Tribolium castaneum: one gene and its partners. The protein of the gene in region 5 purifies or fractionates together with the protein of the main gene of each other region. This does not show direct contact. Links are inferred from orthologs where the notes say so. Each region holds a gene or a part of one and is shown on either strand. Other genes may lie near its edges.

Evidence for each region.
Region 1: the proteins of Cdc27 (region 5) and shtd purify together in Homo sapiens (affinity purification with mass spectrometry; 16 studies listed by BioGRID and IntAct, with this or other methods). This does not show direct contact. The link is inferred for Tribolium castaneum from reciprocal best matches to the Homo sapiens genes CDC27 and ANAPC1.
Region 2: the proteins of Cdc27 (region 5) and ubiquitin-conjugating enzyme E2 S purify together in Homo sapiens (affinity purification with western blotting; 4 studies listed by BioGRID, with this or other methods). This does not show direct contact. The link is inferred for Tribolium castaneum from reciprocal best matches to the Homo sapiens genes CDC27 and UBE2S.
Region 3: the proteins of Cdc27 (region 5) and anaphase-promoting complex subunit 13 purify together in Homo sapiens (affinity purification with mass spectrometry; 5 studies listed by BioGRID and IntAct, counting the BioPlex papers as one, with this or other methods). This does not show direct contact. The link is inferred for Tribolium castaneum from reciprocal best matches to the Homo sapiens genes CDC27 and ANAPC13.
Region 4: the proteins of Cdc27 (region 5) and mr purify together in Homo sapiens (affinity purification with western blotting; 20 studies listed by BioGRID and IntAct, with this or other methods). This does not show direct contact. The link is inferred for Tribolium castaneum from reciprocal best matches to the Homo sapiens genes CDC27 and ANAPC2.

Annotation. Positions count from the first base shown.
Region 1 is NC_087397.1:4,707,502-4,714,694, reverse strand, and holds the end of shtd (anaphase-promoting complex subunit 1), read left to right. Parts: intron 1-19; coding exon 20-618; intron 619-728; coding exon 729-1,875; intron 1,876-1,922; coding exon 1,923-2,171; intron 2,172-2,219; coding exon 2,220-2,438; intron 2,439-2,486; coding exon 2,487-2,613; intron 2,614-2,658; coding exon 2,659-2,860; intron 2,861-2,910; coding exon 2,911-3,146; intron 3,147-3,196; coding exon 3,197-3,445; intron 3,446-3,490; coding exon 3,491-3,812; intron 3,813-3,859; coding exon 3,860-4,231; 3' UTR 4,232-4,286; downstream 4,287-7,193. Other genes in the region: Pen (importin subunit alpha-5), read right to left, coding at 4,393-4,488, 4,534-4,680, 4,727-4,909, 4,958-5,140, 5,193-5,763, 5,809-6,173, 6,223-6,276; CCT8 (T-complex protein 1 subunit theta), read left to right, coding at 7,148-7,193. UniProt on the Homo sapiens protein: Component of the anaphase promoting complex/cyclosome (APC/C), a cell cycle-regulated E3 ubiquitin ligase that controls progression through mitosis and the G1 phase of the cell cycle.
Region 2 is NC_087395.1:19,971,285-19,977,353, reverse strand, and holds ubiquitin-conjugating enzyme E2 S, read left to right. Parts: upstream 1-2,654; 5' UTR 2,655-2,948; intron 2,949-3,007; coding exon 3,008-3,161; intron 3,162-3,210; coding exon 3,211-3,398; intron 3,399-3,446; coding exon 3,447-3,575; intron 3,576-3,624; coding exon 3,625-3,756; 3' UTR 3,757-4,122; downstream 4,123-6,069. UniProt on the Homo sapiens protein: Accepts ubiquitin from the E1 complex and catalyzes its covalent attachment to other proteins. Catalyzes 'Lys-11'-linked polyubiquitination.
Region 3 is NC_087396.1:19,125,027-19,130,287, reverse strand, and holds anaphase-promoting complex subunit 13, read left to right. Parts: upstream 1-3,196; 5' UTR 3,197-3,330; intron 3,331-3,421; 5' UTR 3,422-3,423; coding exon 3,424-3,633; downstream 3,634-5,261. Other genes in the region: atlastin, read left to right, coding at 1-45, 95-250, 307-592, 647-828, 882-1,085, 1,149-1,469; AN1-type zinc finger protein 1-like, read left to right, coding at 3,633-4,400; uncharacterized protein LOC100142251, read right to left, coding at 2,018-2,142, 2,191-2,264, 2,310-2,405, 2,451-2,883, 2,938-3,177, 4,420-4,576, 5,095-5,217. UniProt on the Homo sapiens protein: Component of the anaphase promoting complex/cyclosome (APC/C), a cell cycle-regulated E3 ubiquitin ligase that controls progression through mitosis and the G1 phase of the cell cycle.
Region 4 is NC_087394.1:29,187,818-29,194,763, reverse strand, and holds mr (anaphase-promoting complex subunit 2), read right to left. Parts: upstream 4,202-6,946; 5' UTR 4,107-4,201; coding exon 3,514-4,106; intron 3,467-3,513; coding exon 3,328-3,466; intron 3,282-3,327; coding exon 3,128-3,281; intron 3,082-3,127; coding exon 2,823-3,081; intron 2,629-2,822; coding exon 2,474-2,628; intron 1,961-2,473; coding exon 1,421-1,960; intron 1,372-1,420; coding exon 1,133-1,371; intron 992-1,132; coding exon 791-991; 3' UTR 772-790; downstream 1-771. UniProt on the Homo sapiens protein: Together with the RING-H2 protein ANAPC11, constitutes the catalytic component of the anaphase promoting complex/cyclosome (APC/C), a cell cycle-regulated E3 ubiquitin ligase that controls progression through mitosis and the G1 phase of the cell cycle.
Region 5 is NC_087394.1:14,529,104-14,535,496, forward strand, and holds part of Cdc27 (cell division cycle protein 27 homolog), read right to left. Parts: intron 2,380-6,393; coding exon 1,833-2,379; intron 1-1,832. UniProt on the Homo sapiens protein: Component of the anaphase promoting complex/cyclosome (APC/C), a cell cycle-regulated E3 ubiquitin ligase that controls progression through mitosis and the G1 phase of the cell cycle.

The DNA of each region.
Region 1 (7,193 bases), on a different chromosome or scaffold from region 5:
GTTTTATTTTCTTGTTTAGAATTTTTGGGTTACGAGCAAGATTTTGGTAACACTGAGGACTGCCCCGTAACACCTTGCAGTAACCCCAAGCGACAGAAACACTCAAGTGCCGGGACGGACGAGGATTGGTTGTATTTAAGCAATTCGGACTATGCAACGAAACTAGACAAGTGTCTCAAACATACGTTGCTCCTCAAATGCAACTCAAATCCCCCCAAAAGCCACACTAGGACGCTTCAAATTAATGTTAATTCGCTCCTTTTCCCGTTTATTCGCTTGATTTTGTATTGTTTACACTTGTTGTATGAAGATTTGAAGTTGAATGTGTTGCGATCGGATGACTTGAAACTGTTGGCGATTTTTTTAAATAAGATAGCCAGCGATTTAGGGATGGTTGAGTATGTGGTGCACTACTGGAAAGATTTTCCCGATTGTTTCTCGTTAAATTCGAACGGATATATCGCACCAAATGAGTTAAAACAAGTACATGAGTATCCGTTTATTGGCGAAACGCCGGCCAATATTATGCAGTTTTTGTGCCATTTGATGCAAAAAGGGGAAGTGGCGCCCTATCCGTTTGTAAATCATGTCAACAATAAGTCAAAGGACATCGTGCAGGTAAGTCTCGTCTGTTGCGTTTTTTTTATTTATATTTAGTTTTTAAAGAAGTGAAAGTGAGAGATAAACGAATAGTTTTTCAAGTAAAATATTCGAGTTGTTTTTAATAGATTTGCGGCATCATCTTTAAAGAACTTGGCCACAAGCCGGCCAATTTGCTTAAGCTCATAGAGCCCAACATCACATCTAACGGTAGCCCAGTTCTTCAAGAAGAACCATCTGAGCTTTCGCCACCGGAACAAACACTTCTTTTAATGACATCGAAAAAAATGACGGTTCGAGATTTGGACACTTTACCTCCAGCGATTTACCTCCTAATATACAGCACATTGTGGAAATGCCGAGATAACCCTCCCTCGGACTTACCTTCAGACGCTTATTACTTACTATGGCGCGATGACCTCGCTGTTCAAGCGCACAAATTCCACAAAGAAAAACCCGAAACGACTTTAGAGAAAATAGGAATGTACACAACCCACGAACTGCCAGGCATTGTCCTTACGTCCAAACCGGTCGAAAGTGAGCAACAAGACGGAATGGACGACATTGAAAACCCCTTAACCAAGCTGCGTTTTCCGGACGATATGCGAGTGGCCGAAGCCCGGAAAATGCTGCAAAGCTCCAAACCCGTCCCGATTGTCCTTGTGCAACGACCGGACGTGTCCGATCATGATTTTATCGAAGAGGAAGAAAAACACTTGTTTGCGATCTGTACCAGAACCATGGCCCTGTCAACAGGCCGAGGGATGTTCACTTTGAGAACCTCGGCACCGGTTGTGACCGAACCGCTGCAAACACCGCCACTGTGCCTGACCGGGAAGGCGCCCCCGCGGGGCACGACAGTTGAGCTAAACCACATCGATACGCCCTCGAATATGAATTTGTGGCCGTTGTTTCACAACGGTGTGGCGAACGGTTTGAGGATAAATCCCGATGCGCACAATGTGGACAATACGTGGATTGTGTTCAACAAACCGAAGGGTTCGATGGAACAGCAGATGGAACATGCCGGGTTTTTAATGGCCTTGGGCCTGAATGGCCATTTGAAAAATTTAGATGCGTTGAACACGTATGACTATTTGATTAAGTTGCACGAAATGACGAGTATTGGGATTTTGCTTGGGATGTCTGCGGCTTTTAGGGGCACTTCGGATTTGGGAATGACCAAGACTTTGAGTATACATGTGGAAGCTATGCTGCCCCCGACATCGATGGAGCTTGATGTGCACCAAAATGTGCAAGTTGCTGCATTGCTAGGTCGGTAAAAAGCATTTAAAATTATTATTACTTTGTGTTATTTCAAGGCATTGGGTTAGTCTACCAAGGCACTTCGCACCGCCACATTATCGAAGTCCTGTTATCCGAAATCGGGCGTCCGCCAGGCCCTGAGATGGAAAACAGCGTCGACCGGGAATCATACTCACTTGCAGCCGGATTATCGCTAGGCCTAGTAACTTTGAAGCAAGGCAGTTGCTCTCTGGGCTTGTCAGACTTGAATATTTCCGACCGCTTGCACTATTACATGGTCGGTGGTAACCGACGTCCCTTAACCGGTACATGACCACATGAAATCAAACATTTTAACTGGTAATAATTTACAGGCGCACAGAAAGACAAATACAAAGTACCGTCGTTTCAAATCCGGGAAGGTTCTTCCATTAATTTAGACGTGACAGCACCGGGGGCCACGATAGCTCTAGGCCTTATGTATCTAGGAACTGGCAATAAGGCCGTAGCTGACTGGATGGCGCCGCCTGAAACACAATATTTGCTTGATTTTGTGCGTCCTGACTTTTTAATGTTTCGGATATTGGCGCGAGGTTGTCCCTCAAAATCACGTTGAAAATTTTTGATTTTTTGTTCCACAGCTTTGATTCTTTGGGATGATATTGTGCCGAGCAAGGAATGGGTCGAGGGTCAAGTGCCGGGTACCATCAGGCCCTACTGTATGCTAAAACCATCACCGAATTTGGATATTGATTTTGAAGCTATGAAGTTAGTGATTTGTACGATTTTAAGGAAATAACCGTGTGATTTTAGCCAAGCTTATTGTAACATTGTGACAGGAGCTTGCTTCGCCTTGGGTCTCAAGTACGCGGGTTCTGCGGACGAAAACGCCTTCCAGACTTTGCTCCACTTCTGCCGCATGTTTACCAACCTGACGATCAAATCCATAGCTGAATTAGCCGGGAAACCGACCGTTGAAACCTGTCTCAATGTCCTGCTATTATCGAGCGCGATGGTACTGTGACGATTAATTGTGGTTTTTATTTGAAAAAAAAATTGTTAAAGGTGATGGCGGGGACTGGTAATCTTGAAATCATGCGTTTTGTGCGACTTTTACGCCGCCGAGTTGGTGTAGCTAGCAGTTCTGTGGTCACGTACGGTTCACACCTGGCAATGCATATGGCCTTAGGTTTGTTGTTTTTGGGGGGTGGGAGATACACGTTATCTAACTCTCCGGGGAACATTGCGGCCTTAATATGTGCTTTTTACCCGAAATTTCCAACTCATAGTAACGATAACAGGTAACGAAACGGTTGTGTAAAAGTAGGAAAAATATGTAATATTGCTCCAGGTATCACCTTCAAGCCTTCCGACATTTGTACGTACTGGCGGTTGAGCCGCGTCTAATAATACCAAAAGATGTTCATTCTGGTAAATGTTGCTACGCCTCTTTGAGTGTCGTTAAATTGGACGGTACGAAAAGTTTCGTAAAAGCACCCGGGATTATCCCCGACCTCAGTATGTTGAAAGAAGTGGCGATTGAGGACGAGCGCTATTGGCCTGTGGTTTTCAAGAGGAGCCAAAATTGGAATTCTCTCATGTAAATTAATTTCTTCGTGAAAAATCAGTCATGTTTGGTTTTTAGAACCATACTCTCGACTAATGGGTTCGTTGAAGTCAAGCAAAGGGCGGGCTGTTTGAGCTACATTGCCGATAAATTGGGTTATCACAGCCAGTTGGCCAAAACGTTAACTCAGTCTGAGACTGTACCGTGGAATCCTTCATCGTCGTCCATCCTTTCGTTCACACACGACCAAGCTATTAAGTATTTCTGTGATCATTTTCTCTCAACTGATAAACTAAGTCCGCAAGAATTGAAATTAACACGAATGCTGACTAAAGCGACGTACGACGCTGTCGTGAAAGACAAACTTGTTGTCATACCGGTTATTAGTTTTCTGTTAAAGGTAATGTCAAGACTCATGTATTTATTAAATAATGATTTTATGTTCAGGTCGTTCGTGATATGAGATTGTTACCAAACGCCTTGAACTTTTGGCAAGTCAAGTTGCTGTTTGCACAAATAATATCAACTCCCTTAGCTTGTAATTTAATTCAACCGGAAGTAATGTTGGCCATAAAGCAACAAATGTTAGAAGTTTTAGAAGATTGGGAACCTGGCTTGGCCCCCGCCTTAGAAGCGTATACAAGGGGCGCCGACTTGGCTTTTGATAAAGAAACCTTGAATAGGCTAGCCATGTATGTGATATTTTACGATATACCATTTAGGGAAAGTGCAGAAGGTGATCCATTAGAAGTGATGCTTAAACTTCAAGACAAATATTCCGTTAGTACCTTAGAGAAAATTATGAGGCTAAGGATGTGAAAGAAGCTGTATTTTTTATAAATAAATGTGAAATAAAACTAATTTCAAGGTTTAACATAATTTTTATTTCGAAAACTGGGAACATATCGTAATACAGACTATAAAAATACAAAACGTGTCACTAACACAATAAGGAATGAACTAAACGCATCGGTTGAAACTTAGAAGGAAAAGGGTGATTGTTGTTGATCGGCCATATTAGGAGTAGCGAACTGAATCTCCCCATTTGCTACAGTAACAGTGACTCCCTCCTCACCCTGAAACCTCAAATTACAAAACAATTTACCCACAAAATAACTCACATCGGCGAAATAATTCTCGATAATGTGCAAAGCCCGTTCGTAGACTTTCTCATTGTCGTGACTTTGCAAGGCCTCAATACCGTCCAAACCGCCACACTCCTCAATCATTATGGCCACTTTCTCGGCTTGATTTAACTTGGCAGCGGCCTAAAATCGACAATTAGACAAAATTCCAACACAAATTTTTTTTCACCGATAAAATGTTATTCAATCCCTCCAACACCACGATAATAGTCTTGCTATCTTTGGAATTCAGGAGATTACACATGGGTTTCAACGCCCCCATTTCCACAAGTTGCGCCAATTGGGCGGAATTCCCGCCACTTGTGAAATTAGTAACAGCCCAAGCTGCCTCTTTTTGCGATTTAAAGTCGCCCTAAAAGTCACGTTTTAGGAAAAATCGGACAAAGCGTGGCAACAATACGGTTTGTAGGACGTGAAGAAGATAAGGCAAAATCCCGGCATCTAGGACTTTTTGGATTTGCTCACTATTTCCGGCAGTAATGTTTGAAACTGTCCAGGCAGCTTCTTTGACAATGTTCAGTCTACTGTGTTGCAATAAACGGATCATACAATCTAAAGCCCCGGCATTGATCACCATATCAGTCTACCAAACGAAATTATTAATACTTTTAACAATTGATTGAGTGGCCTTATACCTGATGGTCGTTTCCGGTCACAATGTTACCAACGGCCCTCAAGGCCGGAGTTAGGACGGTACTTTCCTCACTATACAAAAGCATAACTAGGCGGTCAATTAAACCGGTGTCAAGCACCGCTTGAATTTTCTCATTGCTACCATCGGTTAAATAACTCAAAGCCCAGCACGTGTCGGCCAAAACATCCTTATCGTCATGCGACAAAAGTCTCGCCAAGACGGGTAAAGCCGGCTTGACTAACTCAAAATCGGGGTACGGATTTTTATTGCGGCAAAGATTAGAAATAACCCACACAGTATTGCGTAACAAGGACAAGGTAGTGTTTGGTTTGATTAAGTTGATAAGACTGGGCAAAACGCCGTAGTTGAGCACCAAATCGCGGCTCTCGGGCCCATCACCTGCAATGTTACCAATCGCCCAGATGGCCTGCTCCACGACGTCGATGCGGTTTGAGGAGAGCAGCTGTTGGAGCTTAGGAAGGGCGCCCTCCTGGACCACGGCTGCGGTCTGCTCGGAAGTGCCAGACGCGATGTTCGTGAGGGCCCAGCAAGCCTCAAACACCAGCGATGGGCTGTTTAAAAAAATTAATAAGATGCAAGGCTAGGCTCTCGCTTACTTGTGGGTCTTGCCCAGGAACTCGACGCATCGCGGGACAACCCCCAAGCGGATCATGTGGTCGATTGGGGGGTTCCGCTCGCGGCTGAGCATTTTGCGGCAGGCTTGGGTGGCCTTAAACTGGAGGTTCTCGTCAGGGCTCATCATTCCTGTTATCAGGTCATTAAAATGGGGCAAGTCGGGAGTGGGGTTATTACCCATCAAGATTTCTTCGGCAGACATGGTGATCAGCGACACGGAGTTGTTCTCCTGAAGGGGAGTTGAGGCCTCTTCTTGCAACGATATGTTGCGCCTCTTCAACAACTGGTCTTCCTTTTTTGCTTTCCGCAGTTCGATGGTCTGGCCGGCCCGTCGGCGGCGCATTTCCTACACGAGAAGTCTCAAAATCGCAAAATTGCACATGATTGATACTCACTTCACAGTCTTTTCCCTTGTTTTTAAACGAACGGATCCTGTTCTCGTCTCCCATTTTTCTGGAAGTTAGAAACGTGCAACAGGGTCACTGATAGGTGAAGAACAAAAAATTGATTTGATATTTCAAGGGCCTTTTTTAGGTTAATTCATCTGATTCGGGCATTGATTATCTACTCACCTATTATATTTAAACTAGGCACCAAAACTATTAAAACTATTAGTGAATAGTCTCCACAACCGATTAAAAAATAAAACGACAAAAATTCTACGGTCAAAATTTCCGTTGCAGTTCCTGAACGTCACACTGACAATTAATGACGGGCAGCCAATAACGAGCAAGCTTCACTTGGCCAATAGAAAAGCAGTCCCACCAAATTGGCCAATAGAATTATCAAATTTGGAGAATTATTTGAATATGAGTGGATGGTGCTTCGCGCCGATTTATAGCCAATCCAATTTCGGAAAATTTAAAATGCGAAGGTAAGATTGGGCCCAACTCACGAACAAAGAATTACCATTCTGTGAATTAAATGCCTTAATTTTTCGACATTTCACTTAAAGAGGATTAAAAAATAAATAAATAATACGAGTGCAAAAACACAAGTTTAAAGCTCGACGACTGACGTTATGCAACGAACGTATGCGAGTTGCATGCTTAGACCCTCGAGAATTGCTGATGACGCTGCCGGGATTGTAATGGATTGCCGGGAGTTAAAATACAGTTTTTTTTCCCGATCCCGAATTTTAAAAAGCGAGCGTAAACCAATGCGCATGCATGAGCAGCCGTGCCATTTGGTTCTATTTCTTGCCCATGTTGGTGGCGCTGAACCCACCAAATTAGTCACCAAAAGTTCACATGTCCATTGTTGTGCAAACTTTTTCGATTATTAATATTTCGCTTATAAAAAAATAAATCGGTCTCAAAAATGGCTCTTCACGTCCCTAAAGCCCCGGGCTTCGCCCAGATGTTGA
Region 2 (6,069 bases), on a different chromosome or scaffold from region 5:
TATGGTTCAAGGTTTTCAAATTCGCCATGTCCCTCTATGTCTTAATCTTTTATGTTGTTTTACACAATGTTATAACGCCTATGCCTGTTAAAAAAACAAGGTTTGTCCTTTTTGTGATTGCCTAATTTAGAAACTAAGCGAAAAAACGTATTCTACAAGTATCATACAAGTTAATCAATATTAAAGCCTACTATTATTATAAATTTAAATGATTACATGGTAGTTTTAATCAGTTAACTTCCAGTTATAGTTATGTATATCAGATATGTGGCTTTTTATTTAAAATAATTTTAGCACACTTGTAATTCTCTTGTGTTTGAGTAATTTACTAATAACTATGATGCAATCGAGATTACTTTTAAAAAATTTCAAAACTTATCAAGAACTTTGACATCAAACTGTTAAAGTACGTGTTAGGGCCGCTTTTACAAACGTCCGTAAACCACGAATAAATTTCGAAAAATAGTTGTTTAAATTTAGCCTTAAGGGACTTAAAAATTGGACTATTGTCAAAGGTTACAAGCAAAATTTTGATATTTTTTTGCTTTTCTGAACAGTCTGTAGACAAGTAATCAAACCAACAAAACTGATGTATTTATACAGACTGATCCCGAAATACTGTGTCTGTTAGCAATCTGAATTTAAATTTTAAAGGATACCAATAGTGTACACTTTCAGGTAGCAATTCAATAATTTAATCTGATGCCAACATACTCAGTTTCTCTGGATCATTGTGTATATTTAGACAATGTATTTACACATATTATTACATCTGAGTATGTTTATGAAGAACAATTCGAGTTAAATTAATTTTGCCTATACATTCCAGCACGTTATTATTTTTTCAATAAATTTTTATTGGAAAGACTTTGTTTCATTTTATTAAGGGATGTTAAATGTTTTTGTGCTATTGCAACTGTTACAGATGCTTTTTTATTAAAATGTTTCGTAACAGTGCATGAGTACAGAAACATTTAACATTTATAATTCTTTAAATTTGGAAAATAAATAAAATGTCCTGTTTGAATTTCCCGCTATTATCGAATTAGTTCGTTCTCCCCGGGTTAGGTGGCGCTTTCGCGAAAAAACGAGGGGTAGACAGAGAGATTCGCTTCTTCCTCTCTCTTATTCTATGGTTTTTTATTGTTCTGACGCGATCACTGGATCACACAGCCACATTTGGGACCAAAATAAACCTCTGATTGGTGCGTCGGTCATGACGTCACATCATGGCCGAAATTTGTTTTGATTTTCAAAAATTTTACGAATTTAATCCACCGAAGCGAAAGCGAGGGAGTAATTAAAAAACTTTGCATTTGACGAATTAAGCAAATTGTTAAACATGACGGTGCCAAGAAATCGAAATTAATTTGGTAAATTGTACCCTCTCTCTCTTATTCTATGATTGTACCGAAAAAAGTGCGAAAACCAAGGTTAGTATAGACATGGTTGCGTTGTGACTCTGTGAGGAGTGGGAGAACCGCCATATTGCTTCGTCAGCCAGATGGCTAACGTATTATTGCATTGTTTACATGCGATTTATATCGTGTTTTGGGAAAATTTACATTGTAAAACAATGTTGGTGACTTTTATGAAGATTTCAGTTGTAAAACCATTTAAAAACATGAGCGACAAAAAAGAAAGGTGATAGGGATTCTAAAAATAATTGAAAAGTGGCCAAAAAATCGGAAAACTGCATGATAGTTTACAGTAACGAATTGTTTTTTAAAAATATTATTTTTTATTTAAACACTCACCTCCATTATATGACACCTATGGTATGTAAACTAGAAATCCGGCTGTGTGCTTTTTGAGTTTTCATATTTTTTTAAGGTTAAATGTTGTTTATTTACTTGATAATATAGACTGTAAATCTGGTTGCCCATCAGTCATCCATAAAAATCGACAATGTTATTTAGGTTACAATAAATTCATCGCTTCGTTCAAATGTTAAAAATGTTTCTGTATACTTATTCTTATCTCTCTCAGATCTTTTGATAACAGCAGTTTCATTTTCTTTGCATCCACTTCCTATAGTGTAATTCACTAGTGTAAATTGTTCTTTGAACAATTGTGCTATTTTAAACAGCGACCTAAAGTCCCTTTGAATTTGGATCAAACTGACTTCAAGGAAGAAACGGATTACTTTTGATTAGAGGTTGAGAGGCAAATAGTTTTTACCGCAATAAAAGTGTGGCCACATATCTTTGGAATGGCGTATATTAAAATTTTCATTGTCCTGCAATTATAATTTTCTCCAAGTCACACAAAGTAGCAAAAAATTACGTATGAAATTCAAAAGTGCCATCTCAGTGACGTTTTCGCGCGCCGTCTATTGATTAGTTTTAGGAGTTACGGCACAACTATGTCTTTAAACCATTGGCGAGAACCGATTTTTTAACCGTCTAGTCCGTTTGTTAACTCGCCAGAGGGCGCTTTTGAAACAAAATATGTTCTTTAAGTGCAATCTTACCTTTTGTTGGGCGTTTTTTTCACTTTTTTTACCCCCTGTAGAATGTGGTTAATGCAAAGTTTTAATTTTTTCCTAAGATTAGGCGGTTTAGTGGCTAAAATCAACTTTTAAATGTTCTAACTAAACTGTCGCCAGGTGTCGCTTCAAAAAATTTCTAACCGCTTTTTGCGCTAATTTTAACGATTTTTTGGTTCATCCGTCGCTTTTTTCGTCGCTGAATGTGTGTATGCGTGGTGCAGGGCGAAAGAAATTTTTTTTTGAGTTTCATTTGGCGTTTTTTCGGTGTGCCGTCCCCGGGTCCGAGATTAAACGCATGTGATTGGTGGCAAAATTCAAATTTCGTTGTTCATCTGTTTTCTCTAGAACGCCAAGTTTGATGTTTGTTATCACGATTGTCAGGTTGTTTTAGCGTCGTGAAATCGCCAATTTAGTCGATTTCTTGTGATATTTTTAATTAAGGGCAAGTGCCGGAGCAGTGAGTCGTCGTATTTCGTCTCGTGGAGTCGTTTTTGGTACGTTTTTTTCCGTTTTCAGATGTCAAACAATGTGGAGAATCTTTCGCCCCAGATCATCCGTCGAGTGGTCAAAGAAATGGAAGATCTAGTCTCAAATCCTCCCGAAGGGATCAAAGTTCAAATAAACGACGAAGATGTGACCGATATTCAGGCGTACATTGACGGTCCTGCAGGTTAGTGGCCCCTCTGTCCTGGAAACGTTGTGCAAGCTTCCTGTTGCAGGGACGCCGTATATGGGGGGCGTTTTCAAGGTGAAGCTCACTCTGGGCAAGGGGTTCCCTCAGGAGCCGCCCAAGGCCTTCTTTCTGACGAAGATTTTCCACCCAAATGTGGCCGCCAATGGCGAGATTTGCGTCAACACGTTAAAAAAGGATTGGAAGTCAGATCTCGGAATTAAACACATATTACTGGTAGGTGTTCCGGTTTTGAGTGTTTTTGAGGTTATTGCGCTTTTTCAGACCATTAAATGCCTCCTCATTGTGCCCAACGCCGAATCAGCCCTCAATGAAGAAGCCGGGAAACTGCTCCTCGAACAGTACGAAGACTACTCACAGCGGGCCAAAATGATGACGGAAATTCACGCTCAGGTGAATTTTAGCCAAAATCAGTGAATAGATCTATAATTTGGTTTTTTAGCCCCAAAAAATTTCAAAAGGTTGCAGCGGGGAGGGCCCTCTGGCTAAGAAGCACGCCAGTGATAAGAGTAAACTAACAGCGGAGAAAAAGAAGATACTTAAAGACAAGAAACGGACGTTGAAGCGTTTATGAAAACCGTTACTGCCATTCTTGTTTATTTCTTTGTTTTAACTATTTTTTTTTAATTATTAAATTATATTTTTTGAGTATGCAAGAATGATTTATTAATTTATATGTGTGCTACAGTTTGGTTGAGACCTTTTCATTTCGTGTTATTTTGAATGTAGTGCATGCACAAAGTGCAATTTATTCATGGTTCCAATCAAAAAATAAATGTTAGGCTCAGTTGGTTTTCCACCAGTCAATTACAAAGTGTCTGCAACAAATATTGAAACAAACCGGAACATTGTTGGCCTCAACATCAAACATAGCTGAGCCTTAGGATGTATTTGTGGTAGAGAATTGTGAATTATTTATTAATAAAAACTGAAAATCAAATTATTGTTTTAGTGAGAGACCAAATCCATTTGAAAAATAATTTTATAGACCATAATACTACATATTTGTTTACACATTTATGACTGAATGTTTAGTTACATCATATAGCATGAATGACAAAGAGAAGTAGTTTATCCTCAGACGCCAACCGTACCCACAATTATGTACATATCTTTTTTATAACAAAATAGATTAATACTTTATTTCCTGTATCTCTTTCAAACTTTAGAACTCATTTAACTTGAAAATTACTCCATAAGAACGATGTTCGATTAGAACCAACGATCGGTTATAACTGTTATAAGTTACAACAAATAAATTCTCTAGTCCCTTGGGTGCTCGTAATAACCGAGTTCCACTGTATTCCGATGATGGATATAGGCGATGTAGTATAAAAAGGAATTAATTTCGTTTCTTTCATTGTATTGGCCCCGAAATGAACGAACACTTGTGAATGCCACCAAATTATAAGTGTAAGAAAAGTTAACATACTTAACTTAAGTCAATCTTGGTTTTGCTATTTGTGTGGCAAAGCTGTCTCGAAATCCGTTTGTAGCTAAATAAAATTTGTCCATTTCCTTGGGTAAAATATCGAGATGTGGCTCGAGTGGTACTAAAACTTGTTCATTTTTAATTTTGAGAAGACAAATGTTTGATCCATCTTTGGCCATGTATCCTTTCGAAACTGTTCTTCTGGAAAATCAAATATGTAATAAATAGGTAACATTTAAATTGTTTAAAAAATTCGCAAGTGATAAAATAAGGTAGCTCTGAGGACCAAATCGAAGAAAAAAAATTCATCATCGATGTCTTCCTTTACTAAATCCAGTGCAGGACTTTTAAATAAATTATCCAAACAGGTGGAAAAATAAAATTTAAGTCCAAAATCGGAGTGAATGACTACCATCTCAATTTTTGGTTTATCCAAATAAAATTTTATTGTGTTTGATTGATATAATGTTTGCGGTGAGATTGTCCCATGGAGAAGTCCACAAAAATTAATTTTGAAGGTGAGATATTATTTGTAAGGATACTACCTGGGAAGGGTTGGTGCTTAGAAAAAGTATAGAAAGTATTAGTTTTATTTTTGTTAGAATTATCTGCGAAAAACAGTATTGAAGAAGAAATTACCTACACATTTTTCTAAAATATATTTTTTATAATGGAAGTGTTTCTGGAAGATTTCTTACATGAACACGACAAGAAATATGAAATTAAAAAAGTTTCATTCGATCTCAAAAAACGCTAACTCTTTGGTCGCCGTAAGTTTTTTTGTATTCTTTCGTCTTGTGCAGATGTAAATAGAAATAAAGAAAGTTTTCAGCTTGTTTAACGGTCCCATAAAGTGTCTTTGCTCTCAGATTTATGCTTCTTTATAACGTTTTTCACTATTCATTTGATCCAAGTATTATAAAAAATAACACATGGATATTTATTGTGGGCACAATATGCTTAAAAATTATTGAAACTCAACTTTAACAACTGTGTTTTCTAAAATTGCAAATTTTGAACATTCCCACCACTCACGTTTTTTAGTGATTTTCTAATTATAATATTGGCGCATTAAGAAAGAAATGGCCCTTCGATAAGTCATGGTGGTGGTTATACCAAAGGTTTGTTTTCGTGAAAAATGTTAAAACCGTTGGATTATAATTAGTGCCGTTGTTTTGTTAATAAAATTGTTTGGAAACAATTGAAGAAATTTGAAGAAACGTTTGATGTTTCGAAAAAGGCGGGAGGTTAGTGGCACAGGTATTAGGTGGTTCGAATAAAAATGAAGTAGATGCTAATACTAATACTACAGTATAGTGGAGTAAATACTTCAGGGGAAGTAAATGCTACTTTTTTTGAAGTAAATACTTTACTTCCGAGAACAAAAGACAGTTCAAAGTACTTTCTGTTTGTAGCAGATACTTCTCATAGTAGTACCTACTTCGAACGATGAAT
Region 3 (5,261 bases), on a different chromosome or scaffold from region 5:
TGGCCAGAGATTTTTACTATTTATAAACCCTCGTCAAATGAAGAGGTAGCTAAATGATCGGTTTTATATTTAATATTTTAAATTGGACTTCCAGATTGCGGTTGTTTTGCTCGATACTCAAGGCTCATACGACAATCAAACAACCGTAGAAAATTCGGCAACGATTTTTGCTCTTAGTACAATGATAAGTTCCGTACAAATTTATAACGTGATGCGCAATTTGAATCAAAACGACTTGGAGTCTGTGGAGGTTTCTTACAAAATTATTGATCTTATTTAAAAAATTTAACGAAACATTATACTTAGATGTTTGGCCAATATGGGAGATTACTCACAAATGATGATTGCCCGTTTCAAGATCTTTGGATTTTAGTCCGAGATTGGCTTGCACCCTACGAAAGGCCATTTGGTATTCCAGGGGGTGAGTCTTTGCTTCAAGACAGGCTTTACGGTCAACATGATGCGCTTCCCGACGAAATAAATGAGCAAAGAAATAATGTGCGCAATTTATTTCAAACAATTAATTGCTCCCTGTTACCATTTCCTGGAGAGCGGGTAGCGGCCGATCATACTTTTAACGGAGATCTAAATGGTTTCTAAATAATTATATTTCCAAAACTGAATTTAACCAATGATTAATTTCTAGAAATTAATGACAATTTTAAGCGATACGTTAAGCAACTAGTTGAACGCATTTTTGAACCAGAAAACCTGGTAATAAAACGCTTTAACGGAGAAGAGATCACCGCCAATGATTTATTTCAATGTTTTGGCACGTATACTGAAATACTTGGGGATGGTTTACCACATGTTGAAACAAGACTAGCGGTATAATTAAGCGCTTCAGTTTAAAAAATTTGAGAAAACGCCACATGTTTCAGGCGACAATAAATAATCAACATAACGACGCTGTTGAAAGTTCTTTTGAACTATATGATCGACAAATGCATCATAATTTTTCCTCAATTTTATTACTTAATAATCACCACGAATCTTGTAAAACAAGAGCACTTGACAATTATCATAATACTAGATTATTAGGAAGCAGTCTCGTGTATGATAGATACGAACAAAGGCTTATCAGGGTAAGGACATCAATTAATGTTTTTGTAGGTATAACTATAATTATCTCTACGTATATCTCGTAGAAAATGGACGAACGGTTTTCGATTTACAGGGAAAGATTCGATTTTGATAGAGATCGCCAACTTGAACGTGAACGACGAAGAAATCAACAAGTGAGTCTTCAGCAGTTCAGACCATCACAGTCTTCGAGCCTCGTTTCACGAGAATCCCTTTCAACAGAAACGATAATTCTTCAATCCTTGCGTATTGCAACAGGACTTGCGGCAATTGGTTTTGGCATTTATGAAATAATTCGTCAATCATCTAGAGATACAGGAAATTCTAATACAAATAATTCTTCTTCCACAAGGCGGTACTCAACTGATGACTCTGATTCTACATAATCTACTAAAACCGATCTTTGTTAATATTTTGTATCTTATTACTTTTTTGGTAGTTAAATAACTTGCACCAGTGTCGGCCACTTTAAATAAAAAAATAAGCAGAAAGTTTGAGGCATTTTATTTGTGACAGTCAATTTATTTACAACCTCCGGTAACCCCAGCTTTCTGAAAACCGCGTTTTTAAAACCATTCACGTTTCTTAATCTTTCCCTGTGATATATGGTGGAGGCGCCGGGTAAAGACAAGTTTTACAACTACGTATACGCAACTAGTTACATTATTTTAATGATTTTTAGTGTTTTGGAACAAATTAGAACTATATGCATTATTCTTAAGCTCAAACAAACTTTTATCAAAAATGCAGCCTTTCATCTAATATTTCCATTTAAAAGCTTAGTAATATTGCCGCAATTTATTTCAAACAATTCAATGTTCTCTGTTGCCATTTCCTATACCTACATGTTTTAGTTTTTTTGGTAGTAATAAACGACCGACCAGTTGCACATATTATTTCAACGTTTTTTGTATTTTTATAAAATAATTACATTACTGCGTCTTGCGACGACGACTTTTCTTCTTTTGCATTATCAGCGAAAGCCTCATTTTGCGTTCAAACATAAACTCAAATGTGCTTTCAACTGACCCTCTTCCGCGATGCATATCATGAGGATTACTGCAATTACAAAAGTTTCAAACCGAATCAAATTCGGCACAGACTTACATAAACCAAGAAGATTTGGCAGCTGGTAAGCCCGTCGCGTGTTTCATTTCCCTCACAGAGGCAGTAAGTGCCATCTGAAAACAAAATTAAAAACGAACACCACTTGCACGCACAAATACTTCTTTGATTTGTTTCCGTCTCTCCCAAATCTTTAGATTTTTCTTCAGCAAGCCCAACTCAGCTTTCTTTTTCACATACTCTAAAACAGAAGGAACCTAAGGTACGATAGCCAAACTCACTTGCTTAATTCGAGCAAGAACCTCGTAATTTTCACTCTTGGTTTTAATTTTATCGTGCTCTTCCTTGGTTGCCTCCAGTTCTTCGGAAACCTTTTCACATTCGTCGTCGATTTTCCGAACCAACTCCTCTTGCATTTTGATTGTGTCTTGATACACTTTTAGATCGGTCACTTTCTTGAGCAGATGCTTCTTCTGATTGCTCAGCAGTAAATTCGCGCGGCCGTTCATTCTTTTCAGTTCGAGAAGCAGCAAATTCCTTTTATCGATTTTCTCCCTCAAGTGCTTATTATCAATTTCGAGCTGCTCAAAATCCACCTCTTGCAAGTGCTCGCCCAGTAACTTCTTCTGCGTTAATTGAGCGCATATTTTCTGGTACTGCACTTTTAGAGAGCTCGTCCTTAGGCGCAGTTTATCAATCGTAGCGCCAGTTTTTTTAAAAGTTTCGTCCATAAACCTGTCCGGCACACCACAGTCTTAAAATTAGTTTTTTAAGTGGGGATGTCTTTACCGACAAAAACGATCCGCTGGATTCTTTTGCGAATACTTTTCTGATAATTCGTTAGTAATAAATGTTCTTTCAAACGTATCTTTGATTTCTTGTATTTCACTTTCGCGAATTGCCATTTCCTCCAACTCTGCTTTCAATTTATGCCTAATAACGTAGCACTTTCTGTTGATTTTATTCAACGCTGCTTGAATATTGTCCATTTCTCGCAGTATCAAATCAGTCTTCTGCGTAATATTGATTCTTAAAATAAATATCAGTAAATTTAAATTCGCGCCAGGCACAGCGTCGCCAATTATTTAGAACAAAACTAAAAGAAACTAGAAAAAACGTTTGGAGGTAAATTTATTTGTGTTCATTTTGGCAATTTGCTGAATCACTGTGCTCCCAAATTTAGTAAGTGCCTTTAACAGCTGTATTCTAAGGCAGAATATTTGTATTTCTTGTTAGGTTTTTTGTGTAAAATTGCCATAACCCCACTTTCTAGGAATGGACAGTTCAGTGACTATTGATGGTTACTTTGTTGATTTAATTGACGATAAGTGGCGTTCCGAGAAGCTGCCTCACGACGATATCAACGTCCCCACGCACGAGCTCGCCGACCCCGAGGCCGACTCCGGAGACATCCACTTAACCCTCCAGGAGCAAGAACAAAAGTGGACCGACATTGCCCTCAGTGCACTAAGCGAACACCAGTGATGGAGCTCCCCAATTTAGGTCAGCAATGCGCCCATTCAAACTGCCAGCAGTTAGATTTTCTCCCTTTACAATGCAAATGCGGCAAACAATTTTGCTCGGAACATTTCAACAAACACGTCCAAGTGTGTGAAACCTCAACGAATGTTGAGGTAGAACCACAAAAAATTCAAAACGTGTTCAAATGCTCGTTCGAAAATTGTCACGAATCTAGTTTGGTCCCTTTGCTTTGCTCCACTTGTCGTAAACATTTCTGTATAAAACACCGGCATATCACCCAGTGTAGCGAGCCAGACGAGGAAACTCTCGCCCAAAAAAGGGAGAAACTGGCTGCGCCTGTGAGGCAGTTCAATGAAGCTAAGAGCGCGGTTGATAAACAAATCGAGCAAAATTTAATCGCGGCGAAAAAGAAGGGTAAAAATTTGGCAAACAAAGTACAACTCATGAAAATTAAAAATAAAGCGAAGGGGTTAAATAGTATTCCAACTTCAGACCGCGTTTACTTCAATGTTACACACCCTGAAACGGGGCACGTGACCCCCGTTTTCGTTTCAAAAATTTGGAGTTTGGGGCGCGCAATCGATGCAATTGCAAGTGAGTGTAAATTGAGGAATGATAATAACAAGAGTGGTGAAAAAAAATTAAGATTGTTTAAACAAGATAGTGGTGAAATTTCGAAAAATCTGGCGGACGGTCTTGAAAAACTGATCAGTGATGGTGTTATTATGGATGGGGAAAATCTTATAATAACTTATGTAGATGATAATTGAATAAATTTTTCAATCATACCTTGGTCCTTCTTTCTCTAATACTGTGGGGGTTATGGAACTTGTTGAGTATGACAAAATTGTTGACTGGCGCGAAGCTCTCGTCAGTGTCAGTCTTTTGGAAGAAAGCGAGGCACGGTCCTGGATTGTTTGGACGTTTTTCAACACGTTATCCATACCTGCACTTTCCATGTTTTAGTCATTACAGCCGAGGTGGGAATATTTTAATACGTGTTCATATTCAAATTACGGGAACGAGATACAAAATAAATCACTTTTCTGTATTCAGAACTACAGAACAATCCTATTTATCGAATTGCAGACGTTCTAAGCAATGTAATATAATGTTTATTAATTTAATTTTACCTGGAAATGATAAAAACTGCAGAAAACTTAAATGTTAATTAGGATTAAGGTGAATTTTTATGTTATTGTAGTTTCCTTATTTTTTATTTTGTGGTGTATATATTTCACCTTTTACTCATTAGCCTCGAGGATAGACGAAGCCCGAGGATGTAATGAAATTCCTACCGAGTTTTGTACGCTATTTTATCCACAATCACACTTGTTTAAATTAACGAATACAGAAAAGTTGATGCATTTAGTTGCTATTCAAATAAACCTCTTGACCAAGGGATGCAATCACGTATTTCCCGACAGTGATTGTGGATGTAGAATTTTATAGTTTATTTTAAACCTTCGAGTAGTGACGGTTCGTTTTTTTCCAAAAAGTGGAGGAAAACCATGTTTTCCAGCTCCAAATGTTTGGCACTTTTTTCTAATTCCGTTACGGCATTAACCAAAGCGGCGTTTGTCATATCTGAGGTTTCAAATTAAATTTGGTTTAGAATTATGGGCTTTTTA
Region 4 (6,946 bases), about 15 Mb from region 5:
TTTGCACTCCCCACCAGAAATAATGCGACAAGTGGAGAGGCGAGCGCGACGTCACGTAGGCCACCACCGTGAGTGCGTAGAAGCCCAAAGGAAGACAATTTTTTAATAAATTATTTATTAATATTATGAACTTGCACAAAATTGTACAAATTTCATTTTTCTGAGATTAAAAAAATCGCCACTTTTGCAAACGAAACAAACTGCAGTGGTATTTACTATTTATAGGTATTTTTCTTGTAAGTAAAGAGGTAACTAAATGCTTTCTTGTGACCTTAATACACTTTTTGGTTTTAGTCACCGGTTTTAAATTATTAAACTTTGCTAAAATTTTTAACTAAGACAGGCAATGGACAATATCACCTTGTATAATTGGTTACCTACAAAAAGCACACTTTTTTATATTAAAAAAACAATTTTAGAGTTGATTTGGCGCACAATGCCAAGTTAGAAAATGAGCCGTAAGCGCCAAAACCGTTGTAAAACGAGTATTTTTTGCTATTTTTTATACTTTGCGCGCTCTTTTTCTTATTTTAATAAAAAAAATTATCCCCCCAAATATATTTGGGGCATAAGATAATTGGGGTCCGCGATATACACTCATTGTCTTAAACATTTTCTGTCCAAAATTTTGCTAACTTTCATAAAAATAGGCAATCCAACTGCTTTCCGTCGTATAGTTGGTTGAATACAAAAACCTCTAAAAATTATAAAATTTTAAATTGAGTTATGGACTAGGATCATAGGAATACGTAGGTAGCAAAATGCAAAGACTTATAAATATAAAATAAAGCTATTTAGGCAATCTATACAGTCCGTTTGAATAAATCAACTGATGCTCTCTAACTTTCCTATCTAAAAACACTTTCAGTTCCTGCAAATTGCACTCAATTGTGGGTCCTTGGAATGCGAACATTTTCAACATTTGGTGGATTCTCTCCAAAGGTAAAGTGTCCAAATTCATCAACATACCCAAAATGTACGACCAGAAAGTCTGTTAAAAAAAATAACATGTTTTCCCATAAACTTCAGTACAGATTGACCTATGATACTGAAATTAGGTTGGCAGCATTGACAACTGACTTTATTACCAACGTAATTTCAAAGTTATAGCCAATTTGTATAGATTTTTTACCTGTAATTCCTCTTCGCGTTGGTCTTGAGCGCTGGCCATCGCCGACTCTGATTCAAAATCTTCAACAACAATATCATCCTGTATATTATTTTCGTTATTTTCCTGTTCCTCCTGTAGATAAAAAACGTCGGGTTCGGGCTCAGTTATGATCCCGTGTGATTGCCAGAAACTCAGTTTGCGCCGTAAAATTGTCGACGGAACGTGCATTACTTTACTCAAAGCTTCCAAAGACCAAGTATCTTGAAACGAAAAAATAAGTCGCTTAAAATCTTGATCTTTTTGACTCACTCTGATCTTGGAAGTGCATCAAAATCGTCGCATGCACCGGTGAAACCGACAAATTCAAAGTCCTATCCGCCAATTCAATTTCAAGATCCACAATTCCTAAATGATTTTTCCAACACAGGGTTCTGCTACCTTTTAAAGTTTCAAAAGCACCAGTGTAACTCTCCATCTGTTTCACCAATTTTTCGTGGAGTTCAAGCTTCTCGTCCTTGAACGCTGGCCAAAACTGTGCGCTTAGGATCATGGCAGACATGGGAATATCATCGTCTGAATAACTCAAGTCTTGCTGAATATGTTGATTGATTCGCTTCGAATCGGCGATATCTTTCAACATAACTTCGCAAAAGTGGAGTTGGGAGTCACCAAAGCGCAACTTCAGGAGTTCAAGATAACGAATTTCTTTCTCGGTGTCGCAGGAGTATTGCGACAAAAGACGATCGGCTAATAAGGTGCGGTATTCGTTGACGAACAGCTCCTTACTGCCGTAGACGTTGACAAGCATTGAGATGATGTCAGAAGTGCGGGGAAGTCCCGAAGATTTGCCTTAATTTTTCGAGGGAATTAGTTATTTATATTATACGTGGGATAAGTCTAATTATTATTGGGAAGGCAGACAAAGCTTATTTGGTTTATAATTGTTGCTTACGTTTCGTCAACTTTTTGGGCTTCTTGAGGACAATAAATAATCATGTAAAATGTAAATGGAAAAAATCAGTTGTCGTTATTTAATAAATCGTTTAAAAAAGCAATTTTTCACATAAGCAGGTGGTTTACAGCACGACCGAGGGGAGAGGAGGGGAGGACATGAATTGCAAATATAGGAAATTAGCACCTAAACAAGTTAATAAGTACAATTTTTTTGTAACAAATAACTCAAAAATAAATATTTTTTTATAATTTAGTTTGCTGGTTGGTGACTAAGCACTAGAATTATTAAATTTAAATAAACTGTCACCGTAAGAAGAAAAAATCATTTGTCAAAAGTGACTATTCTCTGTTTCAAAACTATGGAAATGCCAACGTCGATTTCCCTCAAAGCGATAAAAAGACACTTACTGGGGACGACATCTACCGGATCTGGGGTCCACGTTTCCCAGTCTTCAACCCCCTCATCGACCGAAATGTTCTCGTCCACTTGCACGGCTTCGCCCCGGACCAGCTCTTCAGCTAAATCATTTGGGCCCTCTTCAGTCAAACTACCCACCACACACCTGTATTAAAAATTTCGCCCTATTTCGGAATTATTGTACACAAAGTGCCCCTTAATTGTGGAAATTTGACACTTAAATGTCATTCAAGGCCAACTACACTATTTATTGTCTTTCCGAAATTCCAGTTAGCTATGAAAATTTGACACTTAAACGTCAAATATGCCAACTAGACCATTTTTTTTTAATTATTAAACCTTATTGTGTCTTCCCGACTCCTTAAATACTGATGAACCGGTTGAGTAATTGTCTCTAGAAGCAGTCCACAGGGGTCCAAAATCCGCAATGACCGAATTGTAGCCACGTAAGCCGTCAGAACGTCAAACGTGCTTACTCCTGGATGTAATAATCTTGTTTCAATTGCTTTTTGCAACGACCGAGTTAAGTGGGGTTTTAGGTCGGTTTTTGGAAGGCATAGTCGAAGGTCGTCAAGGGCCGGAAGAGAATCAGGATATTCTGAAAATATTTGATGACAGACTGCCACAAAAACAATAATTTTTACCAATTATGATGTTAAATAACTGATCTATTCGTATTTTGGTGTAAGTGTTGTATAAATAATTGATTAGTTTTTTGTCAAACTCATCCATGGCCTTGACTGCCGAATTATGAAAGTAAATTTTTTTCAACCATGAAATAACAACCGTTTGAAGCCACTGAAAATAATTCGTATAATCGATTCAAGAAACGACTGATTTCTACCTTTTCTAGACTCTCAATGTGCGAATTATCAAAATTGTCTTTACAGATTTTCTGGATATGTGTCTGAATGTAACTATAAATTAAATCAGTGAGAGCCTGGCCAACTAACGGTTCCAATAAAGTCATCTTGCCCAATTTCCTAGACACAAATATTTGAGTAAAAAAATAAAAAACAAAACTATTTACTTATTAGTTTCTTCAAACATTTCACGACAAGAACAGGAAAATTCCTCTTGCATGCACACAACACACTCCCCACTTGTGCTATTTTCTTCCTCCGGGTCCTGCATTTTAAGCGCCGTTTCGTAAAAATTTACTATCATCCATTCATGATCAATGGGGAGTTGGGATAACAAGACGGCCCTAACGATTAATTTTAAAGCTTCATGCAGGCAAGTTTGATTGTACACTGGTTTAGTGAAATTGCTTGCTTCTCTCAACAGTATCAACTTGTTAATAATTAAATCGAGCTGCACATAATTGTGAAACAAAAATTTAACCACACTGTAGAACTCGTGAAAAACTGCCGCCTCGTTCTCGGTTTTCTTAAAGTGGGACCAAAAATCTGGGACTATTTCCTTCCTCAAACGTTCTTCTATTTTAATTATGACCAAATCCTGAATTTGCTGTGTTAAATTGAGCCTTTTGATAATGCTGATTGCCTCAAAAGGGGCAGAGTCGAAATCATTATCAGGGATCTTTGAAGGACTTTCTAAGATTGGAAAAGCTTCTTTAATCGTAATCCACGCACTTTTTAAGTCCAGGTTTTGATTATTCATTGTAAAAATAATAATTGCTGAACGTAAAAAACTGACAAACTTTTAGGTTCTGTTCCTAGAATAACACTTTTATAGAAGCGGAACATAATGGTTGGCAATGAATTCCTAGCTGAAGCCATCTAGCCGCATCATCACGTACTAAAAATGGCGCAAATTTAAAATAATTCCGATTACTTTATATTTTTTTAATTTTTGCTCACGTCAAAATGATGCCAATACCTTATCAAATACAATTATTATGAAAATTTCTTAATTGTATTTGAAAAGGTGGATCCACAGACAGCACAGATGGAAGAATTTTACCCAACATGACACGATCACATTTAATGTTAAAGATATTTATTAAATCCATTAAGTTTACGAAACTAATAGTCGTCACCGAATCGATGATAAAGACATACTTGCAATCAGCCAAACTGGCACCGGTCTGGCACCTTATGTTTGCAACTTCTGTCTATGGGAGTCTCCTCGCAGTGTGACTCACTTGCGGTTCGATCTCAAAAAACTCACTTTTGGGAAAAACGCACCTATCTACGTAAACCTTCTGGAGCTCATTACTACGTTATATTTTTGGAGATCATGTTGTTCCTAACCGATAGTAGGCAATAGTCTAACCTAAAGACGACACTTTGATCCACTATAATAATAAAAATTAACGTGATATTATAAAAAATAAACTCAAATTAAAATCAACAAAAATGGCGATTCAAGTAAAAAGTGAGTGAAAATAAAAATTATTTTTCTAATGTAATTTTCAATTTGCACAAGAAAATTCATAGTGTACGGTCATCAGGGCACTCAGAGGAATCGTTTGGTGTAAGTTTCAGCTTGAAAATCCAGAAGTAGTTAAAGTAAAAAATTACCAAGTTATACTTTATGTTTTATTACGTGGTAAAGTTAACAACACACGTTAACATACCCTTTATAAACGTTTAAACACCCTTTTTCATGAAAAGGTTGACACGAGAAGTGCATTTTTCAATAAATCTCACTGAAATTTATGTCGTTGACTCAAGGTAGATTTGTCTGTCCTTAAACATGTTCAATAATAATTAATAGCGCTCTAGAAGAGCAGGAAAGCACACAAAAAACATTAAAGTTAAAATTTAACACTTCAGAAGAGAGCATAATACACCCTAACCCTACTTTCTGAACTTTTGTCCTTATCTGGCAATAGCACATAATAAAGGTAGAGATTTCGACCCTAAATATCCTATCATAACGCTCTGAAAGGGCAGAGATGGAGACAAAATTCATAAAAGTGTAAATTTTGTCATTTTCGGGTGACAACATAACCCTACTTTTGAAACCTACCGAATTTTCAACAAAACGAAACAAACAAACAATGTTGCTATACGCATTGCGATACCACTAATTTTCGCACCAAAATTTCACATTGCCAGTTTCTGTTTAAATAAAAACATGCATTTTTATTTTTCCATTGACTGCATGCGAAACTTTTATAATTTTAGACGTTTATAGGCAAATACATTTGTCATAATTAATTTTTTTAGATCAATGCTGTTCTATTTTAAATAATTCTGTGTATGAATGTTTCTAAATTTGACGAATTTTTCCAGTGAATATTTCTGGTAATGACTTGTTTTAGACTTAAGTGACGTCACATCCGTGACGTGTCCCGAGGTTAGGTGTGCGGCGCAGGCGGCGAGAGCGCTTCAGTCGACAGCGAGCAATGGCACGGGTCAGATCGTGAGCGGGAAGCAGGAGGCGAGGTGAGTCGGGTCGGTTTATTTAAATTATTGTGTATTGTGCGGTTTCCTTCAATTTATTCAGTTTGTTACTTGCCGTTGTCGCGAACGGACGTGTGCTCAAACAAATCTAAATTTTCCGGTTTAAATTTTCAATTCGGTGACTAGTGATCGCGTTTGAGTGACACATTTTAAATACAGTAAATAAAATTATAATCAAACACTCAAATAATTAATTGCCACGTAATAATTTTGTCTTTAATTTCAATGAATGAAAGTGGCTTGCTCAAAATTTAATGCAAATAAACATTTTTTTTTGGTTTCATTTTTATTATTATTTTTTTTAATGCTACAAACGGTAGCCAACGTGGAAGCGATATGAAGGTAGGTGTATTTTATTGCTGTGTCGTATTTATTTATTTCACAAACCAATAATTTCATAAAACTTAATTGCAATTAAAATCTTTAAATGCGGTATTGAAAAGTGATATTTTGAGTGACACATTTTAAATACAGTAACTATAAATAAAATAAAACACTCAAATAATTTATTGCCACGTAATTTTGCCTTTAATTTCAATGAATGAAAGTGGCTTGTTCAAAATTAATGCAAATAAACCTTTTTTTTTTTTTCATTTATATTATTATTATTTTTTTTAATGCTACAAACGGTAGCCAACGTGGAAGCGATATGAAGGTAGGTGTATTTTATTGCTGTGTCGTATTTATTTATTTCACAAACCAATAATTTCATAAAACTTAAATGCAATTAAAATCTATAAATGCGGTATTGAAAAGTGATATTTTGAGTGACACATTTTAAATACAGTAACTATAAATAAAATAAACCACTCAAATAATTTATTGCCACGAAATTTTGCCTTTAATTTCAATGAATGAAAGTGGCTTGCTCAAAATTTAATGCAAATAAACATTTTTTTTGGTTTCATCTTTATTATTATTTTTTTTAATGCTACAAACGGTAGCCAACGTGGAAGCGATATGAAGGTAGGTGCATTTTATTGCTGTGTCGTATTTATTTATTTCACAAACCAATAATTTCATAAAACTTAAATGCAATTAAAATCTATAAATGCGGTATTGAAAAGTGATATTTTGAGTGACACATTT
Region 5 (6,393 bases):
CAAAACAGGTGAAAATAATCCATTTTCAGATCTAAATTTGCAATTTTCGTTTGAAAACACTTGTTTTTTAAAAGTAATTATTTATTAATAATCTGACTGTACAAGTTTTTATCTTTGGCACAATTTCTGCAATTTGCCAAAAAGACACCTAAAACAAATGTAATTTGGATAGAATTTTCGAACGTCGTGAGTTTTATGATAAAAAATACGTTCCCAATTTTCTGTCTCGGTTGGACAAAATATTCCAATTTTCTGATTTAAAAAGTTCAATTCAAAAATGTCTTCGTTGTTTTGGCGAAAAAATCAAATTCTGGAAATTTCTCGGAGAAAAAAGCCCTAAAGTTATTAAAATTGTGAAAATAACGCATTTTCTATCTAACCATACGAACTTTTATTTTGTTTGCATTATAGTATATTATTTCGAATTTTGGATTTTTTTTCGTTACCAAAGGTTTTAAATACATCAAAATAATGGAAAATAATGCATTTCATGAATTAGAACTCACAATTTATATAAAACTTCGGTCCGAAAATATTTCATGTACAAAAAAAATTTTAACATTAAGTTTAATTTAATTTTAAATCGACAAAATACCAGTTTTAATAAACTGAATGAAAAAAAAAACACAAAAACAATTTTTCATAAAACGAAAACAGTTGGATAGATGTAGGTATCCAAATTCTTGCTGGTTGTAGCTTTCTAAACTACGTAGATGTTCTACGATCTATTTGCCTTATTCATTATTAGGTTATTAGCTAAGTTTTAATAACAATTTAAACATCAATTTTTAAAAAGCTAATGAGAAATTTAAGAAAGATTTTCAACTCAAAATAAACGTAACTCCTAAAATGCGTTATTTTATTATGTACTATCACAATTTCGTTAATATGTAAATTTAGATTTCTAAATCTGAACATATCCATTTAAAAAAATTATTTTGTGAAAGGCATAATTTAGCCGAAACAAATCCAGAATTTTTTCCACAAACTCGTACAATCTGTTAAATTTGATAACAGCACACTTAATTGTAAACTGTTTTTGTTTTATTAAATATGTTTTTCTACTAAAGAGAACTTTTGTGCAACTACTTTTAGTAAATTTTTAGGAGTTGGCAGTGCTGGGCTGGATGTCATCAGTCATCACTATAATTTAATGTGTGATCTGTCAATAGTGTCAAGTCGGTTATTGATAAAGACTGAATAATTAACAAAATTAAGAAGAAATAGTTTGAACAGATTTCGATAAGATAAACTAAACAAAAACACAACAAAAATAAAAAGTAGAAAAAATAGTATATTACACTCGTTTTATAAGTCTTAATTGTGGCAGTCATTATGCTGGAGCACTCCTTGGTCGTGCTCCAAAACCATTTGTGCCACAATAGAACGTCTTATAAAACTCGTATAATAATTAATAATACACTATTTTTGTGTTTTTTTATTCAATTTACGAAAACAGCTATTTTTTCTATTTAAAGTAAATCAAACTAAGTCTTCTTCGAAAAACATTAATGACAATTTTTTTATATCATATGGTAAAGAGAAAGGTATGAAGTATAATTCAAGACTGAGAGTAGACTTGGACATTTTTTTCAAACACAAGAAAGACATCTCCAGAGCAACCGAGAACATTCTACCTAGGCAGAAAAAATACGAGTTCATTCCATATCTAATTTTCCATATCTTCGCTTGGCAAAATTTCTCGAGTTTTTTCATTTTGTAAATAAAAACAAATATTCCAAATCATGCGATTTACTCAGTGAGAAGAAAACACTCACAAATTTAGAATTTGATAAAAAATTTTGTGCAAAAATCCATCAAAAATAACTTACATTACTGGAGGAATCCGTCCGAAATCTCAGCAACTTGGTCCTCGACGTGAAGGGGGCGAAGCCCGACAGCCACACATTTTGTGTAACAATTGGATTATCATCAGGTGTACACAATTTCGAATTCGAAGTTACGACATTGGGGCTAAAATTCACAAGAATCTGTTGAGGAGTTGTGGCGTATGTCTCTTGATTATCTTGATTTGGATTGTTGTTTGTTATAACAACACTTTCGATATTGTTAATATTACTTCCCTGGCACATTGATAAATTTTCAACACCTGTTATTTGGAATATATTTTGGGGGTTTGGTTTATCTCCTATTTTGCATAAATTTTCGAAGCTTGACCATTGAAATGGATTTAGTTTTAAGGCTCGTTTCCATGCATCTATGGCACGAGGTTTTCTTTCGGTTTTGGCAGCTATGTTACCTAATAAAGATAAAGCGAATGGTGCTTGATCACCGTATTCTGATGTGATGTCGTCGAAATTCTCGGAGTCATTGCTGCTCTTATTGGAGTGTAACAAAGCTGCCTCGGCCTCAGCATATCTGTAAAAAAAACATTATTGAAGCTATGCTAAAATTAAGTAACGATAACTGTTACAACATTGTGAAAAAATGATTGTGTTTATAAATAATAGAAGGTTACGAAGACTAAATACTAAATAAATGATCTTCTGTATCTAAAAAATTAGTGCGGTAGAGTAAAAATTAGGGCACATCGAACGTTAAACTGCCTGGAAAAAACGCAGTAACATTGAGCGTAATAATTAATAAATAATAATACTTATTAAAAATTAAAAAAATTTTGACTTGTCCCATATTTTTCAAAATGCTGAGAAGAGGATTAAGAAAACAAAAAAACAAAGAAAGTTCATCAAAAACGTTGAAGCGAATTAAATTTCCTACTAAAAAGTGCACAATTTTAATTAACGGTGAATTTGATATAAGATATAACCTATTAGTTGGTTACATAAATAATCTCAGAAATAAGAGTGTACAATTAAATAATACTTCAATACAAATATTATTTAGGTAATTTTTTTATTATTATTTCTAATGACATTCTGAAATAAACAGTATGTAATTATTGTTGTTTTGTAAAAAACATATATAAAAATTGTCGTTAATTTACCACAGTTTATACAGTGTGGAATTTTTAACTGAAATAAAATTCATAACTAGGATATAGGCAATTTTTGTAAAAATTTCAGAAACAGGTGCTTTTTGTTTTTTCTTGCCCATCATTTAGTCGATATGGTTTTTATTTATCTGCTGTCAAAACCTCACAGCCACCTCCAACTTTTTTTCTCAAATGTAACGGTATGTCGTGTGACACCTCATGTAAAAGAGCACTTCGAAAGCAGTACAACGCATTATTTGCTTTCTAAATATTGTCAATGCCCAAGTGATAAAAAATTAAAGTAGTGTGGAAATATTGACTAAAATAAAATTTGTAACTTGGATACAAGCGATTTTTGTAAAAAAATCCTGACACAGGTCGATTTTTGATTTTCTTTGCACATCATTTGGTGCGGTTTTTGTTTATCTGTTTTCAAAAATGCCCAGCCACCTCTAACACTTTTTTTTTCAAATGTAACGGTTATGTCAAGTGTCACCTCATGTGAAAGAGCACTTTGCAAGGAATACAACCCACTCTTTGTTTTCTGAATATTTTCAAGGCCTGCGCGATAAAAAATGAAAATCAATTTTTATAAATTAAAATTAGGAAAATCACACTAGAAATGTTAGAAATTCATGCTACTATCGTCATGTTATTTCCCAAGAGAGGAACGGTGCCCATTTTGAACAATCAAATCAAATAATGTTCAACTTATAAAAATTGGTTCTTATTTTTTTTATCACGTAGGCTTTGAAAAAATTCAAAAAACAAATAGTGCGTTGTAATGCTTGCGAGAAGAGCTTTCATACGAGGTGTCAGTTGACATACCGTTACATTTGAAAAAAAAGGTTAGAGGCGGCTGTGCATTTCTGACAACAGATAACAAAAACCATATGCATCAAATAGTGGGCAAGAAAAAATAAAAATTGATCTGTTCGGGAATTTCACCAAAATCGCCTAAATCAAAGTTATGAATTTTATTCCAGTTAAAAATTACCCGCTGTATGTTGTACAGGGTGCTGCATGTTGGATGTTCGAATACGGGATCTCCTAAGAGGTATAGAGAAAAACCAGTGACATATTTTCGAGTCAGTTTTTTGAGAAAATAATTTCGCTATCTTTTTTTGTTTTCGACTTTTAAACACTTATGTTTATAAAAAAAAATCATATCTTCCTTAATATAAAAGATACACATTTAAAACAAAGACATTTTTTTTCAGAGAATCTAATAATGTTATCAGCAATTTTTTTCAACTATTCGTTTAACTGTAATAACATAAAGTTTTTATGATATTTTCGAAAAGCTAATTTTTTTCTGATCTGATATGTCTATTTGTGTAATACATTAATTTTAAATATTTAAGAAAAAACAAAACATTTCGCTTTTTCTTTATAGTAGGCCATGAAAAAATTTTGGATTTTTAATTAAAACTATGAAAATTGTATTACCCAACAAGTATTTATAATTTAATGATTTTTTTAAACACTAATTAATTCAAAAACAGCACAATAAATTTTTATTAGATCAAATTTTTGCAATTAATAAAAATTATTTGTTTTTATATTTAAAATGGCAAGCTTACGTTGTCATTCTATTTTCCTATTGTAAACATGAAATGTCGGAAGAAGAAAAATCTTATTAATTGTATGATTGCTTATCAATAAAATTTTATTTTACAAAAAAATATCAATCCAAACACCAAAATCAAATTCCATCTGCGGTAAAAAAAATACACAACATTATTAACGTCACCTCCTTTGCACTTTACTAAATCATAAAAAAGTGGCATCAAATGGTAGTGATACATTGTTTGAAATTTTCTGCACATTTCTTATGTAATTAAAATCCGCGACGCTCGTATATTTGTTTAAATGAAAATAACTTTAACACAGCTTATTTTTATAATCACATTTTTTACTTTAATAAACGTTCACAAAATTTCTAGATTATTCATACCTTTTATGTGAAATAATTTTTCCATGGCCGACTACTTTCAAATATTTTAAATATATTTTTATCAAAAATATATAAAAATATCAAACTATATTTATATTGTTTTGAGTTCAGAAAAAAATTAGCTTTTCGAAAATGTCATAGCCAACTATGATTCTCATTTAAAAAAATACAACTATGTTATTACAGCTGAACGAATGATTAAAAAAATCGCTGATAACATTATTAAATTCTCTGAAAAAAAATGCCTGTATAATGTTTTTGTTTCAAATGTGTATCTTTTATAATAAGGAAGATATGATTTTTTAAGATTTCGCTAAAATGTCCACTTCTTTTTATAAGTCGACAACAAAAGACGATAGCGGGATGCGGTTTTGACCAAAATTATTCTCTCAAAAAACGGAATGTTTCACTCGTTTTTCTCTAAACCTCTTAGTTTTGGAGATCGCCTATTCGGACATCCAAAATACAGCTTACGTTTTCTAGTGCACTAACTATTAACAAAGAATTAAAATTTTATTCAGCTTTCTATACACCTTTTTCAACTATGTTTCAGAAAGAGTCAAGTATATTTCTGAAAAAGGCAGTTATAATTCAGATTATATCCCATTTTCGTTCACAGTACAATTTTACAACAACGCATTTACATTTTTTTTGGAGTCAAATGGAGCAAAATTTAGAGTTTCTGGTGGGTTTTCTTAGATCAAAACGTGTCACTGGGATTTATTTTAACACAGAATTCTTTTCTTATACAGAATCTCTCAATTTGTGCTTTATTTTTCACACCAAAAAATTCAAATGCACTGTTGCAATTCTACTATGAACTGAAATGGGATATAGTAAACTGTATTTAAGGAAACGTTAATTGTAATTCAGAAATAAAATTTTAAATATTTTGGGTTTAAAATTTAAAATACAAAACATCAAAGCTATGTTCTTAATTATCAGTGCATTTCTTAGTTTAGCTTACGTAAAAGCTTCGTTTTAAAATTGGTACACTGAATTTCACTTGAACTTTTCTTAAAAACCTACTTACAACTGAAAAAAGTAAAATATGAATTACATCTTACTTTTTCTGAAATACTATTAACAGATCCGAATTACAAGTGATTTTTACAACTACTATATTCAAAAAATATACGGGGTGTCTCAAAATTGGCGAATTCCGAGATCAGAGTGTTGTAGAGAATCACAGTAGTTTAAATGTAGAAACAAAATAAAAATTCGAGGCTTCCCACAAAGTTACATTGGTTGGAAGAAACACTTCAGGTGCACTTTATTTTGCGTTTTCTTTAAATGCAGGCTAAAAATTTCAGTGTTGATTGTTGTTTATGATCCAGATGATTGTGGAAAATATTTTTTGAGAAATTGTTTTAAATGATTAATAAATAAGAATAAACACTGAAACTTTTAGCTTGGATTTGAAGAAATCGCAGTTCAAAGATTAATCTTTAAACCAATGTATCTTTGTGGGGAAGCTCCGAAT